4 linked regions of the Drosophila melanogaster genome follow. The gene in region 3 interacts genetically with the main gene of each other region. Each region holds a gene or a part of one and is shown on either strand. Other genes may lie near its edges.

Region 1 (4,555 bases), 2.7 Mb from region 3:
GGCATCACATAAGCCGGGTTTATGGACGACAATCTTCCAATGGTAACCATTGCCAGCTCCCGGATCTCAAAGATTTCATCGTGCAGCGTAATAAATAGCGAATTTAGAGACTCTGGCTGAGCAAGCTTCCCATCAAAGGTCTCGTCCAGCGAACGTAGAATTCGTATTCGCACATTACAGTCCATATCAGTAATGGCTACCATAAGCAGGCGCTCAATCACGTGGGAAACGGTGTCGCTGAGGGTCTTGGAGTTCTCCATACTTTCAGAGGATTGCACTGCCAGTTTAAGGAGTCGTGTGCATGTTTGCACTGCCTCCAGACGAATCTCCTGCTGCTCGTGAACGATGAAGTAGTCAGCACATCTGAAAAAGAAATCAAACCTTGTAATATAACTAAAATATAGTAAATTAAATTAAATTACCGTTGCACAAAGTCCAGCATGTTTTGCTCCTCAAAGTTGAAGGTACCCAGCGTTTTGAGTGCCAGCACTGTGGTTGCTCCGTCACCATTCTGCATTAGCGAGCCATCGATGGCGATCGTTGGCAAAGCAGTGTATGGTAAAATTGCCGCCTTGTTCATCAGCACCTGGGATAGGATTCCGATCAATCCTTCTGTAATGGCCGACTTAAGCTGCGGCACATTCTCGGAGAGTTCCCTCAGGCAAACAGTCAGAGCTGGCGAGAGACCCGTGTAGAACATCTGCTCAAGGATATCCTTAACATCGTCGGCGATCTCCGACTTAACGGCATGAGCAAGAAGCGTTATGCAGGCAAAGACCGCAGGATCCACTGGTACCTTTCGTTTGCTGGTCAAATCCTTTGACGGCAAGGCGACCTTCACGCTAGTCATTATACTGGATAAATGAACTTCGATCGCACTCTGCACCGCTACAGCCATGTAACCAATGGTTATGTACGCCACCGTGCGATCCTTCTCCTTGCCTCGCAGGATCTGCATTAAATGCGACACGCATGTCTGCAGGTATTTTTCCACAAACACCGCGCGGTTAAAGGCAGCCAATCGAGGAAGTATTTGAAGGAGTGCCTGCTGTACATACGGAGACTTCGAAGTTCGCTGCTCCAAAACATTGTCGCAAATGGAGGTGTAGTGCTCCTGAAGGATCTCCTGAGCATATGCGGACTCCAGTACGTTGTGCTGCTGGATGTCGATATTATTAGTTACTTGCTTAAACATAACTAAATAGTTTGTATTTTAAATTAACAAACATTAAAATATCTTTTTTGTAATGAACAAATGGAAAATATACTATTTTAATACAAACATGCTTGTCTAAATGATTGCCGCCCCACAATTACTACTGGTAACGAATCACACTCTACTGCTACATTTTACACAATTTTTAAACTATAATTAGGTCAGCTGATTTCCTCCCGTCAGGCATCGCTTGGTTTTTAGATACATGTAAAGTACATACTACGTAAACCAAAAGGTAAATAAATGAAAATGACAAATACATTCGTGTGTGGAGGTATTTGATCGTTAGACTCACGCTCGCGAACTTGGCAACTCCTTTGTGATGCTCTCCCTCACCCAAATGCGTTTGGGTGCTGCCGAGCTTGTCAATGAAGGGCACCTTTAGCCGCGGCACTAGAGTATTCAGCTGGGAACCCATACTCGACGAACTGCTGGCCTCCAGGAACTTATTGTGTTGGGTCTTGGGGAACAGCGTCTTCAGAGACGTGTAGCGCCGCTCCCAGGTGGCATTGGCACAGCGAAAGAGCTCGTTGAAGACGACGAGGCCACCGTGAATGCGATCGTCTCGGGTCACGCCTTTCTGATCCTTGCTAGAGCCCAAGTCTGCATTGAAGCTTCCATTCGCCTCGTCATAGCAGATTCTGTACCACTGTGGTTCACTGGACTGCTTGGTGCTCTCTCGCTGAGCGGTGACAATCAAAGCCGCCCTCAAAGCCTCGCCAGCTGACTCTCGTATAGCAGGTTTGGGATCGAAGATGGCGTTAAAGATAACCTCGAAGAAGGTCAGGATGTGCTGGTAGAAGTATGTGGGCAAGGCGATAGCCAGCTCACGGAGGATAAAGACGGCTGAATGGCGGCGGTACTGAAAAAAATAATATATAAATGAATTTGGATAACTCTAGCCATGCTTACAACTACTATTTTCATTTTCATTATAAAGTTTTTCCATCTTCATCTCAAAATCAGACTTAAAAGCTTAATTTGTAGGTTTCCCTTATAATTCACCTCTTGTCTCTCGCCTCTGAGCACCTCAAAAGCCTTCTTAATATCAAAGTCGAAGGAATCGGCGCCCTTGGAGGTGGGCATGTTGGCCAATTTGACCAGGGAGCGGGCGGCAATCTCCATGACGGACACATCGTTGATTAGCAGAAGATCGCGCAGGCGGTTGAGATAGGGCGAAATGCCCTTCCTGGCAGTAAGACTGCCCTCGCAGTTAATCAGGCACTCTGAAAGGGAAGACGTTAAATCCTCTCAAGCACTGCCGGGGAGCCAGGAACTCACTCATGGCCAGGGCACCGCCTTTTTTCTCGTTGATATCTGTCGCATTCACCATCGTGAAAATGTGATGGTCGAACTCGTCGAAAAATTGGGCCAGCTCCTCCTGGGACATTTCGCGTAGCTCGGTCTTCACATAGAAGAGCAGATCCTGGGTTGCCTTGTTCTGTACATTCCGGTTGCGGGACTTAAGCCCGTTGACGAACTGCTGCACCACCGACGTCGTCGACATGGCTGGGCAGGGTTTATTCACTATTTAAACGCGATTTTCACTTGCATTTGGGAGGGGAAAGGGTGGAGCAGGTGCATCTGCCTGCTGTCTACGGACTTTGGAGGTTATCTTTTCAGTTGCCCCGGGGCGCTGTACGCACTGTTCCACTGGTCACTCGATAGGATTTCATGTGCCGGCACCGGTGCCGAACGATCTCACACGGATGCAGGTCCTTTGCTTTCTTTAATTGCGGATTACTTCGGTTTTTACGGAAATTTATTGCAGCCGCTGCCGATTAGTGATGTAAAACAGAATTCGATCAATTTACAATCGATATTTTCTTGCTGATACTTCTGTACTTGGCGGCGACTTATAAGCATTTAAAATGTTAGAGAACATATTAAATAAAAATAATAAAGTAATTAATAAATTTGTTCTTTATTATAAGCAATTAAAAAGAAATTGGCTTAAAGTTGTGGTACAAAACATTTATATTACTGGAGTGAACAAGTTGCATTGAAGAATTTGGAAAATAGCACAAAAATGCAAGCTTATGTTAAATTTTTAATAATTACCAACAAGTATTTCAAGATTTAACTGCGGAATGTGCTAGTGGAATCCGACTATTAATGTATCGTGACGTGCGTGAGTTTGATGTGAGCCCATCTCTATAGAGAACCTGGAGCCCTCGACGATAACCGATAGATCAATACTAGAGTGAAATCAAAAAAGCAAGAGAATTTTCATAAGAGCTGTTGAAACAAATGTGAGCTTATTTAATTTTAGAGCAGCTGAAAAAGCAGTTTTTACGCCACAAAACCACTGACCACAAGGTGTTGAATGAAAAGAAAGTGTGAAAATTGCTTTTGTGATGGGTAAAAGGTGGAAAATTCACCTTGCCGTTGGTGGCATGTGTGAAAATTGTATTGGAAAATCGATGCTGTGCTGCGGGGGTGTGAAGCTTTTCACTGGGGGCTGCTGCTGCACATCAGCGCCACCTATGCGTTTCCTCGCGGAAAACGCTCTCTCATTCGGGGGCATGGAAAATGCGTGTTTTTGTTTATAAGAAAAACGGTTACTTTTTCCCACAGCCAACGAACGATTTGACCGTTACCGAAGCAGAAGAAGAAGAGCAGCAACCGCGACCATGTCCAACTTGAGGAAATTCAAAGACGAGGAGCGCGAGTCGGAATATGGCCGTGTCTACGCGGTATCCGGACCAGGTAAGCGACGTCACCAGCGTCCTTCATGCGCTGACCCCCAAGTTCTGTAATCCTTAATCCTGCCTTTCTTCTGTTCTTAATTATACTCCTCCACATCTTCCTTTTTATCCTTCCTTATTATCCTTCTCCTTTTCATATTTCTGTATGCTTTCTTCCCCCTCCTCCTGTTCCGCATAATCTTCCTCATTATGCTGCTCTCTCCACTCCTTGCTAATCATATTTCTCCTGCTTTTCCTCCTTCAACAACTTTAAATCCACTTCAGTGGTCACCGCTGAGGCCATGTCTGGATCAGCTATGTACGAGTTGGTCCGCGTCGGCTACTACGAGCTGGTGGGCGAGATCATCCGTCTGGAGGGCGACATGGCCACCATCCAGGTGTACGAGGAGACCTCTGGCGTGACTGTCGGCGATCCGGTGCTGCGTACCGGCAAACCTCTTTCCGTGGAACTTGGACCCGGCATTATGGGCAGCATCTTCGACGGCATCCAACGTCCTTTGCGGGACATTGGTGTCATGACCAACTCCATCTATATACCCAAAGGTGTCAACACAACTGCTTTGTCGCGCTCGGAGATGTGGGAATTTAATCCGCTGAATGTGCGGGTGGGATCCCACATCACCGGAGGAGA
Region 2 (7,814 bases), on a different chromosome or scaffold from region 3:
TATTCACAATATTAGTTTACTGCTATTGTGGAGCAAAGTCGCAAATATTTCCGTAGCCAAAGTCACGTTCGCCCACCTGATAACTTCCAGTCACTGGGTTGCATTATCAGGTTGGGAATCTGCTGCTCGGTAATGGGAATCTCAGCAACAACAATAACTAATTTGTTGACTTTCGACACTCGAGAGAATTCTCGATTTTGTGACGTGAACTATTCATTAATCTCCTTCATGAAGAAAATAGATTGGACAGTTTTGTTTTCATATTTTTGACCAAACATTATCTGATCTTAATCAAATGTTGAATTTTACTAGTACACAATATGACGCATCTAGAACCAAAAAATCGTATTTTCCCCTGACTCATTGTTTTCATCTTTTGTAGCCTTCCGCTTCTTGAGAATCTAGAATCTTCATGTTAAGCTCATAGTCTGGTTGACTAATTACACATTTATAAATATTTACAATCTTGTGTCAATAAATAAAAACAGCGTTTTTTACCCCAGAGCCCTAAAGAAACAAATTCGAATTATTCTTGGTGAGATCAAATTTCAATGTATTATGTTCTTTTTTGCAATTTTCACTTACAAGATTTTAAGAGTACACAAAGCGTAATACAGAAGTATTAAATAATAAATAACAATTTGCATTCGTTGCATTTTTTAACATGGAAACTAATGTGTTTTAAAGCCCAAAAGCAAATCAGGGCGACTGTCCTTTGATAAGATCAACAGTTTGCAAAAAAATTAAAATGTTAAATGTATTGTACATAGGTAGGTTTTAGGAAGAATCGGTTGCAGAGAGGAGGCTGCGGAGCGGCGTGATTCTTGAACGAATCGAATCGGGGCTGCAGCGCGATTGGAAGGCAGTGAGTTCTTGTGTGTCTAAGCTTTAAGTCTTTGTTGGCAGTACCACCTGCAGGAAGACGACGTGGAACGCAGTCGGAGTCGGCGCGACCCGGAAGGCCAGGATGTCCACAGTGTCATATCATCCGATATGCCCAGTCCCGGCGGCTAATCAGTCGGCATTCAGCCGGATGCAGCCAACGCGCCAGCGTGTCCCAGAATGCAACCCGTGGGTGACTCCACGAGCTCCAATCAGCCCATGTCCACATCCGTATCGGGTTCGGGTTCCGTGGACAGCCCATTGGCATTCTGAGCCATTTGGAGCGTGGAGCGCGTGTAGTCCAATGGCTCCACGCCAATGTCCTCGTACTCGTGCTTGTCACCCAAGGGACAGAGTCCTTCCTCGTCATCATCCATCGCATCGGCGGCAGTGCCTTCGTCCTCCTCCGCATCGCTCCAGTCCTCGGCCACCTCCACGTCGACTGGCAGGTACATGTGGAAGGGGCGCTGCTCTCGCAGCCACGGGGTAAGGAAGATGTGGCTGGCGGTCATTCGTTCCGTGTAATCCTTCCGCAGCAGCGAAAGCAACAGCCATCGCACCGACTTAGACAGCGTCAGGGGTATCTGGACATTCCCGTGGCGTATGACGGTGATGAGGTTGCAGTTGGCCTTCTCGTAGAACGGGTACTGACCCACCAACATGGTGTACAGGATCACGCCCAGCGACCACATGTCCGCCGGTTTGCCCTTGTACGTTTGCTGGGGGCACAGCAGTTCTGGAGCGGTGTACAGTGGGCAACCGATCTTGTCGCTCAGAGTATCGTCCTCGCCGTCGAGGATCATTGAGCCTTCCAGTGATTCATACTGCAGTTTCGTTCTGTAATTAGCAAATGACAAAATCGAATAAATAATCCGCCAAAATAGGGTACAAAATATATGTTTATGCTTCTTAGAAATAAAACTAACAGTCTTTTTTTTACCCGTTTCTATTAATATGTTGAGAACTATTGTTGCCAAAGAAGAGTAGATATGACTGCAACTTGAGTTGGCACTGCCACTATTCTGATCGCAACTGTACCCGTTCATCAGACCCATCGTCGAGCTCTACATCATGTGCAATCCCTGGGACTTGCATAACCCCCGATTTTGTGGGGCCATTAGCTAGCGCAATATCGAAGAGACTTGAATCGATCGGCCACGGAGCTTCAGTTTCAGTTGTAGTTGTCTTTGGCGTTGGCGTATTGACAAGTCAAAAGGCAAATTGGCCGAGAGAGCACATTGTGAGCTGAGCTGAGTTGACTTGGATTGGTGACGAAAGCGCAGCTTGCGACCCCCGACACCCATGAGCGAGTGCCGCCGCCGCCGCCGCCTCCGCCCCTGCACTCCACTCCACTCCCCCTCCATTGGGCCACTCCACTCCATTGACATTGGCCCACATTCGAATGCAAAAAGCAAAAAAGTAACGAAAACGCCAGCGAGCACAGCGCATAGATCCAAAGAGAGTCCGCTGTGTGAGCTGCGTGAGTAGTAAGGTGAGGTGGAGTGACGTATCGCAACTTGTTGCTGCAACGGCGCTTCTGCTGGGACCCGAGCACCACTACCAACATTGGGTATTCCGCCGATAGCGAACGGAGCGATATACAAACACACGGTCGCCGCGGTCTGGTATCCAAACATCCAAAGAGCCAAACACAAAGCAGGCCAAAAAAACCTCGAGCTGACCCTGAACAAAAACAAGCTTTGAAAACGCGCCTCTCCTCGGCACAAATCACAGTGTACACTGAAAGAAACAAATTACCTTCAACTTGATAGCAACAGGTGGGCAATCAATAAGAGGGAAAAGAGATAGCGCATTTAAATAATATATTCAAAGAACACGGTTCTTAATTAAGAGCATGTTTCTATACATTTGTTTTCGGGTTTCATTTGATTTTTGTGTCCTCTATCGTCTAGTTACCCCATTCGATACAGAAACATTATAAACTTATATTTAAGATCAAGGCAAGCATATATAATTATACTTTTAAGATCAAGGTTTTATGTGAACCAATATTTATATTTTTGAGTGCACGGAAGGCAGGTGGAGATGTGATGAGGAGAATAGTTACAGCTGCTGACCTCGATGCGCGACATAACCGAGCTTTGAAGAGCGTCTTGTGGATCTCTTCTTTCCCTCTCTCTCTCTCTCTCGCTCTATACGTTTGGCACACATTAACCCGCGACAGAGGTTAAAATAAAATCGGAATCGAAACGAAATACGGAAAACCGGCGCCGCATAAATGCTCAAACACCTTGGAAGTATTTACGTACGGCAAAAGAGTAGACAAAATAAAAGTATGAACCAGAGATTTTTACATGCATAAGCATACGCATTTGTATATGGGAGGCACTGGCATATATGCATGTACATAAATGCGTTCAAATACAGAAGATCAGAGTCAGGGACATTCACCGCACTGTGACCTTAAAAATTCGGCTCGTTATTTGGTTGTGCGTGTGTGTGGCCGCCCCGTTGGACATATGTAGATATGGATATGGCCACGCCCATAGCCCATATAGTATGTATGTACACCCAGCGAGCACTTATCTATATAGCGATGTATTATTCGAATGGAAATGGGAATGGAAGTGAGCGCCAGTAATCGCAGCGCATTTGAGTCGTATTGAACACTTGTTGTTTATTTCTCGCCAAGGTGAGAGAAGTATAGTATAGATAGAGATCTATGGGTTGGTTTCTTCCTTCCGCCGTTTTGCACTTGGCACAGAACGACGAAATGACGAAAAAATCAGCAGATATTGCGCTAATTGCAGAGTCATACGAAATCGACCAAATGTTCAAGTCGTTCCATGCTGATGTCAGTACAATTTCGAAGATAATAAGAACGGGAGACAGCGCGTTTTCGATACAGTTGTGTTAATTAACATATGCGAAAATACATTTTCGATGAAGGTGGGGTCAATATTTCATCATCCACTGTAAACTCACACACGGGAAATCGACAAATCAAGCGAACGCCGAGTACGTGGCCCACAGATCCCCACCCCAAAACCATATTGCAAATGCTATGTTGAACAATTCTTGAAATGTGGCAATTTCTAGCTTCCGAAATGTGTAATGAAAAAACGAGTGAGCCAACATTTTGGCCATCAGTGTGGCACATTGGGCCCTTGTGTACGAGTATGTACACAGAGATACAGTCGGGGTCTGCAAAATAAGGCATATGCTTGCTCACTGAATGGCAATTCAATGATATTACATAAATAATAATTCTTTAGCTACAAAGCTAATACACCATGTTAATTAATAGTTTAATAATAGGTGTATTTCAAAAACTTATCTTTGAAATTATTTAACATTTTTGATCTTATTCCCATTCATTTTTGCAATGCTTCGCATAGTAGGAATATATTTTTACTTATAAAATTAGTTTGAAACTACCATTATACCCTGTGCTGTACATACGTACGCCTTGCGTTCATTCGGTTTGTCAGTATAATTGTTGTTGTTGGCCTATTGGTGATTCGATTGCAACACTTGTTAAATGTTCAATGTTACCCACAACGACGGCGCCAGCAACAAAAACAAAAGCAACAACAGCAGCAGCAGCAGCAACTACAACAACATGGGCCAATAACAAGAGCAACAATTGTGGCACCACCAACACACGACCACAAACAAGATCTCTCGCTCATAACGAGTTTCCATCGAATTGCAAAATAAACCGACTAGCCAGCCATATGCAATTGAGTTGGTATAAGTCAGGCATATGTGGCGTATATTGGTGTATATGGGTTTTTCGAAGGTGTCACCTGGACACGCAACTCACCTGGCCTCGTCGATGAAGTAGAACCGCTTGAGCTTGAGGTCCCTGAGGATAATCCCGTTGCGGTGGCACACCTGAACAGTCTGACAGATCTGGTGGAATATGGCCCTCGCCTCCGTCTCGCACAGTCGCTTCGCGTGGCGGATGTAGGTGTGCAGGTTCTCGTACACCCCGGTCACCCCACCCGTGGAGTCCCTCTCCTGGGGCACGGGCGCAATGAGGATGTAGGTGCGATCCTTGGTAAGCGGTATGATATCGTGCACGGGTCGGATCAGTGGATGGCCATAGATGGTGCTCCGGCGTAGCTCCTCGTCGTGCTGCTGCAGCTGAAAGTAGGCTCGTTGCACCTTATGCAACGGTTCGTTTACAATACGGCAGAGGAACTGCTCCCCGGTGAAGATGTCCACGCAGCGCAGATTGGAGGCGGTTAGATCGACCAAGTGGCGATACGAGGCGGGAGTCTTGGCAGCCACGGCGGCCGATATGTGACTAGGCTGTGCGCTGATCAGATAACGCTGTTGGATGAGCTTGACGGGCTGCTGGTCTGTGGGTTCCGCTGCGATGCCCAGGGCCAGAAGGTCACAGGCTCCGCCGGGCGTCATTAGCTTCTCCCTGATGGTCTGCAGCATCTTGGCATTGGGGAACTCCTTTTTGGGCGTAAATAATCCCAGTACGGTGTCCTCCTGGCTGCTACTCATGCCGCTGCTGCTGGATGATGAGGATGAGGAGGTGGCGGCTGCGACTCCTGGCGAGACTGGTGACGAATAGTTGACTATTTTGCTTGTGGACGCTGACGAAGCCGTTCTGCTGTTTTGACCGCTACTGTTATCCATGCTTGCTTGTGTTTACCACTTCACTTAACTTTATCACAGTTCTTGCTCTCGCTACGTTTTCTTCGTCTTATTCTCTGCTAATGCTTCTTCTTACTAATTTTGTTACTCCGCTTTAGCCTGGCTGTACTTGGCTGTTAATTGTTTTGACATTTAGCGACGCGCCGTTTAGTCTCCGATTAAATTCGATTTAAACTCTCGTTTAAACTCAGGGCTACTACTACTTCGGTAGTTTGGCCATTTGCAATGCGGGTACTGACGAAATGCGGCGATTTTAAAACAAATCGGACGCTGCTCACTGAACTCGCGAAACGAAACGAACGCGACCGTCTTCTCCGCAGTTTGAATTTCAAATGTGACCATCCACGCGGTCGGAAGAAGCACGAAGCGAAGAGAACGGCGAAATACAACGGCTCTCTTTCGCACCCTCTTGCTCGCTCTCACTGCACCGATCCTTCTCTGCCTCGCTCACACCCGTTGCAGGAATTTAGCTCAATGCGGTCGGAATGGAAAGAGAAGTGGGAGACCAGAGAGCGTCGTTATTTTTTGAAATCCAAATGGTTGGGAGAGAGAGAAAGAACAAGAGCATCGTTATTTTTGAAAAAATTGCGCTGAACGCTGAAATTCCGATTCCAACTGAATTCGAAATACGTAGCTGTATGAACACTATACCCACAGCAACCCTTAAACTTTTCTTCTACGATTTTACGTAGTAATCTGCGCACCAATAAATCGTGGCGATAAGTTAATTAGAGGGGGTTAGTAAACTGATAAAATCCACAGTTTTAAGATCAAATTAATGAAAGTACAGTCAGCTTGAACTTCGATTTTGTTTTATTGAGTACGGGTACGGATATCGAAGGCAGAAACACCCGTATAACCATCTCTATAACTCGAAAATATCTTTTGTGGTTTCTTGGCTTGGATACTTAAGGTTTTCTCCTGCTCTGATAAGGTAATATTTTACAAGTTTGGTTGAAATTATTTGTTTTCCCATAGTTACGAAATTTTTAAACCAAATTCAATGATGATGTGCAGTTTTTGAGTAGTTGCTTTGCAAACTACTATTATTATAAAAAAACATAAAACATAAAACATTTTAATATCCTAATATACATACAAATTTAAAATTAAGAAATTTGTCTTCTTAATACTCCAGATTAAGATCTCTTATATCCCTAAGTATATGACCACAGATGGACATTTCAGATGTACAAACATAGTTCTAGTAAATCCTAGAATTTAAATAAATGCTCCCAAACTCGAATCTTCAAATAACGCTTCAATCTCTTGGATCCAAATCGATCATTGAATTTTTTCCTGTGCGAGATCATTACTCATTTGTGTGTGTGTATGTGGATTTACCTTGCTGTTTACCTCGCGGTGCAGACGATTTCATGATTTTTGCAGCTGTCCGAAACGAGGATCACTGGGCTACGCAGGAATTACGACAGCAACAGAAGGCAGTTATCCGAGATCCTCAAGGAGCAGGTAAGAACCACCGAGCGGCATTATGTCGCAGGTAGATTCCTACATACATATGTCAGCTGCACTATTCCACCCCTAAGCACTATATGGCAGATATAGTGCATCGGTGCAGGGCTGTACATGCGATGCAGTTGCAGTTGCAGCTGGCGCAAGGTGATTTCCCACTAAAGACATCCGTCTGAGGATACACAGGAGCACATTCGCGGTCACAATAATAGGAACTATCGCAATCGAATCTTTAGTAATTGGAAATGAGGGTCTTTAAATATAATTTTTAAGACCGAATTGTTGGACTAAAAGACCTGAAAAATGTATTTTTAAAATCGTTGATAGAATTGGTACAATTGTAGGTTAGATATAACTCATTTAGTTTTGAATTTTTTCATTCTGGGATACTGGGATTTTGAATACTAATATTTTCACCGCAACTGTTTATGCAGGCTTGTATTTCGTCCATTGGTTTTCACCGATCTCTTCGATTGAATTCTTCATATTGTAACGCTCTTTTTGAAACGCAACGTCCGTCTTTGCTTCTTCTTCCCACGAAGTAGCCGATAAATACGAATGCGAAAATCGCGAACAGAACAAATAACACCAACAAACCTCTCTTTTCGCCCGTCCCTTTTCCAAAGTCTTGCATCTGTTTCTCGAAAGGAAGATTGAAACGAGAATTATACTGGTACCGTGACACCAATGCAACCGAAAAGGGGGGAAATTATAGGGGTGGCGACATCAAATTGAATTTGAAAAATATTTTATTTGCATACGACATACTTATTTGCAAGCAATTAATGTTTCACTCTGGTCACTGCACTCACTTATACGATTAA
Region 3 (6,930 bases):
TTCGATCGTTTTCGATCGTCCAACAGATTCCCTCATTCCCCCACATCAACAACAACAACAGAATGATAAAAAAAAAAGAAAAAACAAAAAACTGATAGTCGTCGTCTCTTCATTATTTATTTAACGAATACCCATTAACATGACAATTGCAAGCACGTAAAATTTAAGTTATAACGTAGAAAACTAGTAAGAAAAATACGCTAAGACTCGAACAACGTCAAACCAAAATCTAGAAGTACGCAATTTTAATAAAGGAAATGCGGAACAGTTTCTCGTATACATAAAAGCTTTCGCAAAATAATTGGTCTAAAACATTAAAGAATTTTGAGAACTCGGAATTGTGTAGGTGTTCATTTTTACAGAACCTCTTATAACCATCGTAATAAACCCTACGAAATGAAGCAGTCAGCAGTCCGAAACTGGTAAGAAAGCGTTTTCGAAAATCTGCTTTGTTTTCTGAATCTCGAAAACCTAAAAAGCAATAACCGCCAAGTGTTTACAAACAAATCATTGACTTTACGTTTTGGTAAGAAATATTGCATGTGTACTATCCATCGATCTAACTTTTTACCTATTAAGACAAATACTATACAAATCTATAACTTATTGTAGTTGGGTCGAAACGGCAAAAATCTAGCCAATGCTGCAAGCAACTATATTAAGCGCATCGGTTTTAATGTTTATGTTTTATTTCATTTAACTAAATTAACAGGTCATTTGTTGGAGTATCTCTTAACGTCACTTTCAGATTTATTAGATTGCTTAAAGTTCAAAACATAGCTAAGCAATACTTATGATAACGACGATTAGTTAGTTAGCCCAAGGGGCTATTAAATATTTAAACGATGGACTGCAGAAACTTTTTAAACAAATAAAAAGCGAGACAAATAAATGAGAAATTGGTTAACACGGCAAAACACTTGTTTTTATTTCTTCGTCTTCGAGTCCTTTTTGCTTCAATAACATTTACTGATGATTGGCCTATTTTGATTTATTCAAGTTACGAATTAAAGTCAACAGTTGAGAATTAAGTGGTACCAAGAATTCATTTTGCGGAAACCAACTAGCCTTAAGATACGAGTGTAATTTTTAAAGTTTTGAAAATTTTTTAAAATTTTAAATTATTCAGATAGCAGGTTTTGCTTTTGAATAAAGGAACTTTAAATTCCAATCATATTTATGTCAAAATAATCGAATACCCATAAAAAACCTGTTGCACTTTTATCGATTGTAAATAAAAAAAGAGAGGATTACATTAATGGTATTACCCAAACTGATAGTTTTCAATAGCATTTCAATGGCTGGAAAAAAAAATAAATAAAAGGTATTCGTAAATCTTAAAAATGTTTGCGTTTTAAAAAATTGCATACCAAAAATAATATTGGTTTTGCAAGAAATGGAATTTTTAATAGCTGTAGCAATATTAGTTTCGTGGGTAGAACTCGAGTAAAAGATGTGTTGGTAGTCATGTTTTTGGTAGCATGAAGTTATATGTGTGTTGTTTAATAAGATTAAAATAAATGCATAGATAATTACATATTGTTTAAAACCGCAGTGCTAAAAAATAAATGGTTGTATCGATGACCCATCGATAGTTTTTGCATACACAATTTAATCGAGAGGGCACCACGCACGTCGATAGCACTGGATGTACATTTTCTCAAATCTTGTGGTGGTATCGCTCGCCGTAAACACCCTGTGGATCTCACGCTTGATAAATTAATAATACATTTAATAGAGCATGAGCGCTACTGTTTAACTTTTACACATAATTGAAAAGTTTTATTTGAAATTTCGTGGCTTAGAGCAAAACATGTGATAGCTTTTTGAAATGCAGTAGCCAGAACCTGCTCGGTTGGAACATTTAGCTTATTGACTTAAACATACCCATATGCACATACATACATATGTATTAAACAGTGGGCACATATATTCGTGTGGTGCTGATAGTGTAAATGTGTAAAATGTCTGTGGAATTGTAAATATGTTTTTGTTTAAACAAATATGTACATAAATGCACAAAAATCGGTGCATATATGTGCACATGCCCATCATCCATATCTGCATATTTCTGTACATGCATATGTGCTCTAACTACAATACATACCACCATTCGCAAACAGTTTGTCAAAAAAGTGTGTCTACTCGGCGAGATAAAACAAAAAACAGTTGCCAAATCAGTCGCTATGTTAAGTAATTCGAAATTACTGCTCGGTGTTTCTAAAACGGATTTTGATTTTGATTTTCACCCCTCGAAAATCGCCCCCTCAGCCAACGAACCCATTTAATTGCTCGAATTCGTATCGAAATCGCCGTGCGTTGGGCTTCAATAAAAGAACTCTGTTCTGTTAGCCAGTTACAATTAAAACCAGGACCATTTGACAACCAATCTGAATGTATTATGCCAAGCGGAAGATTGTTATATTGTTTATCTTTGATAATATGCCGATACATGTAAGTATGTTTCACGTGTGTGCCGCAAATGCCTGCCTGTGTGTGTGTGTGTGTGTATGTACATATGTGCGTGTGCATGTGCGAGTGTGTGTGAGTGTGTGCATGTTTGTGCTAAGGATATTTGTGGATATATAAACCGAACTGAAGTTAACTCTTTACCTGTTCCTGGGAAAACAAGTAGGGAACTATTCCTATAGAGAGTGCACCTCTGTCTGTATGTGTATGTACGTGCTTAAATATGTATCCAAGCAAGAACTGCAAACAGGAATATATCTTAGCCGAGTAAGAAGTATTAGTTTATATAGAACAACCTAAGTGGATCGGGAGAAAACAAGCCCATTATATTAGTTCCATATATCCCTTTAGAATGCCTTGGCACAGTATAATTAAGCAGTTTCTATTGACCATATTAGAAACTTGTCTGCTGTTAAAGGATTTAGGTTTGAATTCGCAGTAGAAAACTAAGCTGAATTGAGTCAATACTTTTCTAACTTGCTGTGGAAAATAAACAGATTAGTTAGAATCATATGCATATTAATTAATATGCTTTACATTCCTTTCAGAACGTACACTTTGCAATGGAGTAAATAGAAGACAAGCACTGGTTCCCAAATACATTTGAATGGATGCAGCTAATCTAATTTAAATAAAAAAGACAAGTCTTTAAACCTTAAAAATATGGCCAACACTATTTCGTTAATGTCCAACGTGATACGCAATGTAGTGAGTAAAAAACGTATACGATACAAAGAAAAAGGATACGATTTGGATTTAACATGTAAGTTATTGAATCAACCGCAATCATTGGAATATTAAATTAAATTATCTATTTACCCACAGACATTAATGATAACATAATTGCCATGGGCTATCCAGCACCGGATAAACTAGAGGGCCTATTCAGAAACCGTCTGGAAGATGTCTTTAAGCTATTGGAAGAGAATCATGCCCAGCATTACAAAATCTATAACCTATGCTCGGAGCGTAGTTACGACGTTGCTAAATTTCGCGGGGTAATTTTGTTGAACTTTTTCTATTTGTCGGCGTAAAATATGTAAAATATACTATTTCGCATTACAGAGAGTAGCTGTTTATCCGTTCGATGATCATAACCCTCCAACGATTGAGTTAATACAACGATTTTGCAGTGATGTTGATATGTGGCTCAAGGAAGATTCGTCCAATGTTGTAGCCGTGCACTGTAAAGCTGGAAAGGGCAGAACCGGTAGGAAATGTGTTCAACATTTTGTGCGAAAGTTCATAAATATCATGGCACACTATGATCTTGTTTCGATATTTGTAGGGCTAAAAAACTAACCCAGTTTTTTTTCATTTCAGGTACCATGATCTGCGCATATTTAGTGTTCAGTGGAATTAAAAAATCCGCCGACGAGGCATTAGCGTGGTATGATGAGAAGCGTACAAAGGACCGAAAAGGTGTGACAATCCCATCTCAGCGTCGATATGTTCAGTATTTTTCCAAACTAGTTTGTTCAAGTGTTCCATATTCGAAAGTAAGCCTTAACGTGAGTATTTCCAGCAGCAGCGCCACATTCAGCGCCGTACAAAATCTAAATATGCATTTTTTGTATCTCAGGTATGTGAAATACGCTTCTCGGAGTCCAGTTGTGTGCAAAACTTAGGCATGGTAGAATGTTCAATATCTGTATTACACGACTCAGCCACAGAAAATGCAAAGCCAGATGTAAGTATATAAAGTATATAGATACATCATTGATAGACTATAGACAGCATTTTAAAAATGTATATTTCACACGATTTCAGTGCAGTAAAGTGTTCCTTTTCGAATACCTTTCTAACCAGCAGTAACATTCTTCTTTTTTTTATAATTGCAGAGACTGAAAACCTTGCCGATTGATTTTCAAAAATCATTTGTTTTGACCATTAAACCATCAATACCAGTTTCCGGCGATGTAAAATTTGAACTCACAAAAAAATCCCCAGATAAAATCATTTGTCACTTTTGGCTAAATACGTTTTTTGTACGAAACTATTCACGTAAGTATACTTAATATCGCACATGCATTAAATAAACGATTTAATTAAACATTCTCTTTAGCTTGCGAGTCCGATGGAACAGTTAACAAATATATACACACTTTAAGCAAATCAGAAATCGATGATGTACATAAAGACAGTGAACATAAAAGATTTTCAGAAGAATTCAAGGTAGGATATTTCGAAGCATTTTAATAGATGCTGCGAAATTACCAAATAAATGTGCTTGCTCTCTTTTCAGATTTCAATCGTTTTTGAGGCAGAGAATTTTAGCAATGATGTTCAAGCTGAAGCGTCCGAAAAAGAGAGAAACGAAAATGTTTTAAATTTCGAAAGATCAGACTATGACAGTTTGTCTCCAAACTGCTATGCCGAAAAAAAAGTCTTAACTGCGATCGTCAATGATAATACAACGAAAAGTCAAACAATAGAAACGTTGGATCATAAGGATATAGTTGTAAGTGAAAACACGTTTTGCGCCGATCAATATGCTTAATCTATAAATCTAATATTCGTAGACTAAAATTCAATACGACACATCAACCAATTCAAAAAATACTTCGACTGCGTGCAAACGCAAACAGCCTAATAGCAAAACTCTTTTACCAAGCTTGAATGATTCCACAAAAGAGGAAATAAAACGAAATCATATATTTAATCAACCGTCCATTAAGAAAACTGATTTAATCAAATGGCAGAATAGTGAAGTTCATATCACCTCTGACACTCGAAGTATAAACGAAAATAAGAACATCAATTACAATTCATACATCACATGTAAACAATCCTCTCCAAAATTCAACTGTGGTACCGAAGATGGCGAGGAAGATTGGGAATCCGGTGAGTTTGCTGCACACTATACTCTCAATGACCAGATCTCACTAAAAATCTATCCGTTTTAATCGAGTAATACCGAACAATTGTTCTAATTTCACATTTATTTAATACTAAGAGTTTCGATTCAATTGATTTCTGGACCATTATCGGTTTGATTTTGTAATTAATTGTATTGTATGAGTATTCAAATTAAGATTTGTTAAAAGAGATAGCCTTTATCGACATATGCTATCGTCCACACATTTATATTCTTATTGACTTATTGAATTCGCCAGAATAATCACCCGAGACGATTTAAAAGACTTCTGGCTGAACGATCTCTTAATTTTGATGTATAAAACGAAGCCACCAGAACTGGATTTATATGTCCCCAAGACTTTTACGAGTATACTAGCAGAGACAGGCTTACACAGATCCACTTCCTTTCACGGGGAAACGATCGATTACAGCTGCGCTCTGCACATCTGTTTAGAATTTAATGTACATAGGTGAGTGAGTGGGAGCCCATGCCTGCGGCTCGAATGGTCAACTAACCGGCAATCCTTAATCAGTATCCGCATCGATTTTCATCACACATCCCTCACCGCTTCATAAGTATGTGACTCTGGGCACTGCCATTGTCCTTCTACTCAATTCATTTAACAAAACTAGCACCGAACTGTCGAACTTCGACTAATTCGACTATTTCACTGTTGCTGTTGAAAACTAAATATCCTGAAGCAGAATGTGTCTTTTGTGTGTTTCATCATCATCAAAAGTCTTCTGCTTTTAATTCATTCATGCTATTTTGATTTTTATCGTATTCTCGTTGAGTTTTAGTTAATAAATTCATTAAGCTTGTTTGAGCAAAAAAATCTAAACTAATAAATGAATATTTTTCTTTATTTCCAGGTGAATCAACATACCTGTAATCAATGCTTATTACGGACTTATAATTCTTGGTGATTTAGCAAAGTAATTAAAATTGCTAAGTAATTGGCTAATCTATTCGAATTTGTAAATATACTGTATGATATTTATTTAAGTAGTTTTAACAATTATTTTAAATAAACTCATGTACATTTTGTATTGTAGATTTCATTCGAACTTTGGGTTTTTGTCTAAAGTAAGGGGGGAGAAATAATTGACGTTTAGAAAAAAATACTTAAATTTATAGTTTTGATCTCGAAACTAGTTTTCGACACGAAAAGTGCAGCGATTAAATGGATATCTCATATTTTATTGGAATTTAACTAATAGTTTCAAATGAGGCAATAGCTAAGATAAATAAATAATAAGAGGTTCTTGAAATTTGCCAATTGTTGTGCAAAGCATACAGGATTCACAAAGGTAATTATCAGATTAATAATAAATATTCAAAGTATGATTATTCCAGTTTCTACGTTAAGTGCTACCAGTTATTTTTCTTACTCTTTTTCCCATAATTCCCCTAACATATGTTCCACTTCCGAGTTCCAATAAACCCAACACAAAAATGTTGTCCAAATTGACGCTATCTTGACGGGCATATATTATTGTGTTAAATTGACGTAAACTGGGCGGTCAGAATTTCGCATCTTAACGTCGACATCTAATTTTAAAAATGACTAATTATTCGGAAATTTTTAAGAAAGTTTTTAA
Region 4 (4,613 bases), on a different chromosome or scaffold from region 3:
GGAATGTACTCACTCTGACTTCGATCTGGTTCAAATACAGAGCGTCGACTATTGCTTTCAGGCCTGAGGGTTTGCTAGGATCACAGAATTCGAGGGTGCCCGTCCAGCTGCGCAGCACAGACAGCAGTGCCAGCCGACAGCTGGTGTAGCGAAGTTCGCGCGCATCCCTGAAAGATAGTTTTATTTATAAAAGAATGATGTAACTGATAGCGCTTATCTACAACTTGTAGTAGTACATCTTGTGAAAAAACTTCAGTAGATGTTTGTGGGATAGTCTTGTTCGATTTTCCAAAAGTGTTTCGCCCGATTTAACTACTCATTTAGAGCATGAAACGAGGTCAATGGCCGTGCTGCCTTTAGTTATCTATTTTAGAATTTCATGTTTGCATCCGCTGTTTGATAATCTCAAAAGACGGCGTGATGTTCATCGATTATTTGGTTACAATTCAACAGCAGATATAATTACTCTACATTAAATTACTTTCGGCGAATTAATGAGTGAAGTGGATCCGTCTTACATCTGGCTTGATAAACTGCTTTTTGTTTTGGGTAACCCATTTGTAGTATTCTGCAGCCAAGCTGCAGTATTCAAGGAGGGATTGGTGGGATCTTCACTAGGGCACTCACTTGTTCTTATCGACGATACTCTGCCGGTAGGTGAAATCGCAATAAGGAGCTGCCAGGCAGTCCAGCCGCACACCGCAGATGTTCCTCGTTTGCGGCCACTCGAGCAGGTACAGAAGCACGCCGCACAGGCTCTCAGCGATGCGGGGATTGTGGCACTCTAGCACATTGCGGGTTATGGAGGTGACGCCGCCGCAGACGATCAGCAGCGCCGGATTGAGCACAGCGAACTCTGCCAGGGTGGCCAGGCAGGCACGCAACAGATTGTCGTTCTCCTCGATGCCGCTATCCGCCAGCGAGACCAGGCAGCGCACCACCGCCGGACTGATGTCCTCCGGCGCGATGGCCAGCATCTTGCGGACCAGCTTCAGTGCCTGGACGCGCTCGTCGTCGTTCTTCAGCATTAGATCGATGGAGCGGCAGAGCAGGTGCTGCAGCTGCAGTGCATTGAACGTCTTGATGTCATTGGGCGTGCTAATGGCATACCGGATCGTTCGCAGTGCCGCCGCTCGCACTTGGGTGAAGGTGTGCACCAGTGAGGCACTAAGGCTGCAATTAAGGGCGATCAATTAGCCATGTTAAGAACAATGGTTTCCCCAACGGGCATCTTACCAGTAGAGCAGCTCCTCGGTGGTGAAGCGTATATTGCTGTGGTGGGAGCCCTTTCGGGCCCCCAAACAGAGCGAGGCCAGCGCGTTGAGCAGAAACAGGCGCTTCGTGTCCCGCGTCTCCTCCAAACAGAGCATCGAGTATATTTCGAATGCATTTTCGGCGGCCGATCGCTGTGGATCCAGGCGGTAGAAGTCCTCCGGATCCTGCGAAACTGTAATGGAGGAAAAGTTTCATTGCTTTTCTTATCAGATCCGTACACACTAATTACTAATTAAAACAACCTTTTATGAATGAATAATATGGCCACATCGATGTACTTGAATATTACATAAATATTATTTGCAAGTAATAGCTTTTTCGGATATGCACATGTTCAAATCATCATAGTACATGGGGTTTTTACGGTCAAGAGGAGGTGCACACATGCATGCACACAGCGACTTGCATTAGAAAGCCATCAAAGTGAAATTGATCGTGGATCGTGGAAAGCTAATCAGCTCAGCCGCTGCCTCTGTCTCTGCCGACGCTGACGCAGGCTGTGCACGTGAAATGACAACAACACAGCGTCATAACAGTTTCGTTGTTGTTGCAGTTGTCGTCGTTACAGCTAACTGTACTTGCATGATGGATTTGGTTGGAAAAGGGGGAGAGCGACAGAGAGAGAGAGAGAGAGAAAGGAGAGAGCATGACGAGCGAAGAAGAACGAAAGAGTGAAGGACACGATGAATGGAAGAAACCAAGCTGAGCATTTCGTATGTTATTGTTTTTGTAGTTCTAGTAGTGGCTGTTGTTATTGTTGTTGTTTCTGCTGTTGCTATCGCTGTTATTGTTATGGTCGATGTTTAGTGAATGTCTATGTTGTTGCTTGTGCTGCGTCATCGTTTTTGGGGGCTCTCTCTATGCTGTGGCGACCGTTCTATAAATAATCGGCCAACATGTAGTCGAAGAATTTGGTCAAATGGCAACAGCAACAACAACAAAAGTAACCAAAATAAAACCAAAAAATACATAAATAAAAATAAAAACTAAATAGAAAATAGAAACGAGAACAACAACAAATGTATAAATAACGGAGGAAACACTGAGGAGATCAGGAGAAATGTTGATCAGAATGCCATGCTGTCGATACATGCGTACATCACTGTTGCATCGCTGCTACATCGTTACCGTTATGGGCAATGCTGCCAGTGTGCTCATTCCCGCCCCCCTCAACAACATATTATTGTTGTTGCTAGTTGCCATCAATGTCAACAAAAAAAAGAACCCTTTGCTACCAATTATTGGCCAAGTCCAATAAACAGAAGGCTGCTGGAGGGGTAGGTGGGGTTGGGGATGAGGTCGGCTCAAGATCCACAACAACAACAACAACAACAACAGCTGCTGCTGTAATGCTTATGCCTCGCCGTAATGCAAAATAATGCAAACTGAATGGAATGGCGGGGGTCGGTGGGGCGAGCCATGTGAGACAAAACGTCGAACGGAGTGATTGCGCCATTATGCCGATGCCACCGTCGCCGTGTTTGATGTCAATTAGCACATTCGTTACATTACCTTTGATGCGTAATTGTAATTTGCTCCGCTTGCCAAAACGCCAACTGGAATGTTGGGAGGCCATCGCGTTGCTTCGCCTCTTTTTCGATTCGCCGATGGGGGCGTGGCGAGGCGGGTGCGGCGCCGTCGCCCGCTCGCCTATTAGCTGTATGTCGAACACACACCCACACACCACAACACACAGATCACACTTAAATATATTGCTTTTCAATTTCACTTGCTGCACAATTTACATTTTTTTTATTGCTCGCCGCTTTAAAGTGACCGTCGTCGGCGCAGGAGAAAAAACCAACTACGAAGCGCCACCGCGGGCACGAGAATTTGGAATATTTACGCGACTTTCAATGAAAAACATTTCATTTTACACTTACATCTTACATTTACATTTGACATACAATTTTGCTTGCTTACTTCCTCTGAAAGGCTAGTGTCTGTAATATAATGAATTTCTTGTGCACTAATTATAAAAATTGAACGGAAATATTCAAAATATTACCTGAGAAATTCGAGGACAGCTGAATTACCCCCAGATAGGAATTCTCCTTATCGTAGAACTATTTTATATGATTATAAATTACGAAATTAAAACAAATACTGTAAGGGAAAATTTACTTAATATTCTTCTGCAAGATTATTTGGTGACTTTTTTTTTGGAGTCAATATATGTCATGTGTATTTACTCTACTTACTAATTTACATCAACTTGTTATATTAAAGCATACCGAGGTGCACAATTAATTTTCGTCACAAAGTAACAATGCTATTAACATATCGTAAATACCACACATGCAGTTGGTATTTTCGAAGGAGCCGCAAGCGGTTACACGGCCGCCCAGACTGTTATCGAAGTCGAGTATGCTCTTCCTCTTCGATAAACGCAATATTTTGCAATAAAGTAAATTAGTTTTAAAACCACAGTGGCGAGCACTTTCTGAGCAACTCGGCAGCCGCAAGCACTGTTCGCGCGTATCCGGTGCACAGGGTGAGCCCTTCGCGAACGCGATACACCCCACTACGCTCGAATTGTCCCGAAATCGTTGTTTTTGTTGTGTGTGGTGTTGGCTAGTGTTGTGCTCTTCATTGCCTTCCGTTTTTGCTCTGTGTATCTGTGCTCGGGTTCACCAATCCAATCGCAACGGCCAACTGATGAGTCTCAATTGTGTCCATTAACGCGACGCGAGTAGCACCCACCCACCCTCCTCCTCCCCCCTCCAACACTTGCCAGTTGGGCCCGCGCCCCACTTCACACCATCACCGCCAACGCCAGCGCCCCACCCGCAACCCCTCCTCCAAATCCGAAACGAAAACCAAATCCCAATCCATATAGTAATACCCAACCCAACCACTGCGAGATGGCCAGCAGCAGTAGCAGCAACAGTTTTGGGGGCGTGGCCGGCGTGAACGGGGATCTGTGGCGCGAGTGCGTCGCCTGGCTGACCAGGTGCAAGGTCATTCCGCCCGACCACAAGGCCGCCCAGCCGGACGCCGAGATCCGCATCCTGGCGATGACGCTGCGCGACGGCGTGCTGCTCTGCAACCTGGTCATCCACCTGGACCCCAGCAGCTTGGATCCGCGCGAGTTCAATCGCAAGCCGCAAATGGCACAGGTGAGTGAAATGCGAGAAGCAAGTGACTTTGCTGGCAAATTGTGAATGGGTGGCACACTCTAAACCTTGTAAACAAGCAACACTGAGAGAAATAGGGGGAAGTATATCTGTAAAAATAATTTAAATCATTAAAACAAACATCACTTACAATTAGTGACAATAATTGGCCAAAACATCATAAATTCATAAAGAAATAGAATATGCCAAATTTATGCACGA

What was found.
Region 1: of Pten (region 3) and mTor, changing one suppresses a phenotype caused by changing the other (phenotypic suppression), as found in Drosophila melanogaster (3 studies listed by BioGRID).
Region 2: of Pten (region 3) and trbl, changing one suppresses a phenotype caused by changing the other (phenotypic suppression), as found in Drosophila melanogaster (one study listed by BioGRID).
Region 4: of Pten (region 3) and rictor, changing one suppresses a phenotype caused by changing the other (phenotypic suppression), as found in Drosophila melanogaster (one study listed by BioGRID).

The regions. Positions count from the first base shown.
Region 1 is NT_033779.5:13,002,954-13,007,508, reverse strand, and holds the start of mTor (mechanistic target of rapamycin), read right to left. Parts: upstream 3,030-4,555; 5' UTR 2,724-3,029; coding exon 2,498-2,723; intron 2,443-2,497; coding exon 2,222-2,442; intron 2,079-2,221; coding exon 1,512-2,078; intron 1,160-1,511; coding exon 423-1,159; intron 364-422; coding exon 1-363. Other genes in the region: Vha68-1 (vacuolar H[+] ATPase 68kD subunit 1), read left to right, coding at 3,850-3,925, 4,189-4,555. UniProt on the Drosophila melanogaster protein: Promotes cell and tissue growth, maintains tissue homeostatis and controls responses to environmental stress and aging. Regulates growth during animal development by coupling growth factor signaling to nutrient availability. Central regulators of autophagy.
Region 2 is NT_037436.4:20,395,757-20,403,570, forward strand, and holds trbl (tribbles), read right to left. Parts: upstream 5,854-7,814; 5' UTR 5,500-5,853; coding exon 4,670-5,499; intron 1,720-4,669; coding exon 1,095-1,719; 3' UTR 532-1,094; downstream 1-531. UniProt on the Drosophila melanogaster protein: Adapter protein that negatively regulates different signaling pathways to coordinate cell differentiation, proliferation, migration and growth.
Region 3 is NT_033779.5:10,255,778-10,262,707, reverse strand, and holds Pten (phosphatase and tensin homolog), read left to right. Parts: upstream 1-1,658; 5' UTR 1,659-1,854; exon of another isoform or gene 1,855-2,123; 5' UTR 2,124-2,454; intron 2,455-2,720; exon of another isoform or gene 2,721-3,017; 5' UTR 3,018-3,132; coding exon 3,133-3,232; intron 3,233-3,294; coding exon 3,295-3,467; intron 3,468-3,534; coding exon 3,535-3,679; intron 3,680-3,792; coding exon 3,793-3,980; intron 3,981-4,051; coding exon 4,052-4,159; intron 4,160-4,310; coding exon 4,311-4,473; intron 4,474-4,534; coding exon 4,535-4,644; intron 4,645-4,714; coding exon 4,715-4,930; intron 4,931-4,991; coding exon 4,992-5,313; intron 5,314-5,585; coding exon of another isoform or gene 5,586-5,590; exon of another isoform or gene 5,591-5,798; intron 5,799-6,201; coding exon 6,202-6,221; coding exon of another isoform or gene 6,222-6,255; 3' UTR 6,256-6,389; downstream 6,390-6,930. Other genes in the region: CG5676 (uncharacterized protein), read left to right, coding at 6,893-6,930.
Region 4 is NC_004354.4:19,258,200-19,262,812, forward strand, and holds the start of rictor (rapamycin-insensitive companion of Tor), read right to left. Parts: upstream 3,042-4,613; 5' UTR 2,852-3,041; coding exon 2,788-2,851; intron 1,645-2,787; exon of another isoform or gene 1,546-1,644; coding exon of another isoform or gene 1,518-1,545; intron 1,448-1,517; coding exon 1,237-1,447; intron 1,174-1,236; coding exon 628-1,173; intron 168-627; coding exon 14-167; intron 1-13. Other genes in the region: Vav guanine nucleotide exchange factor, read left to right, coding at 4,140-4,394.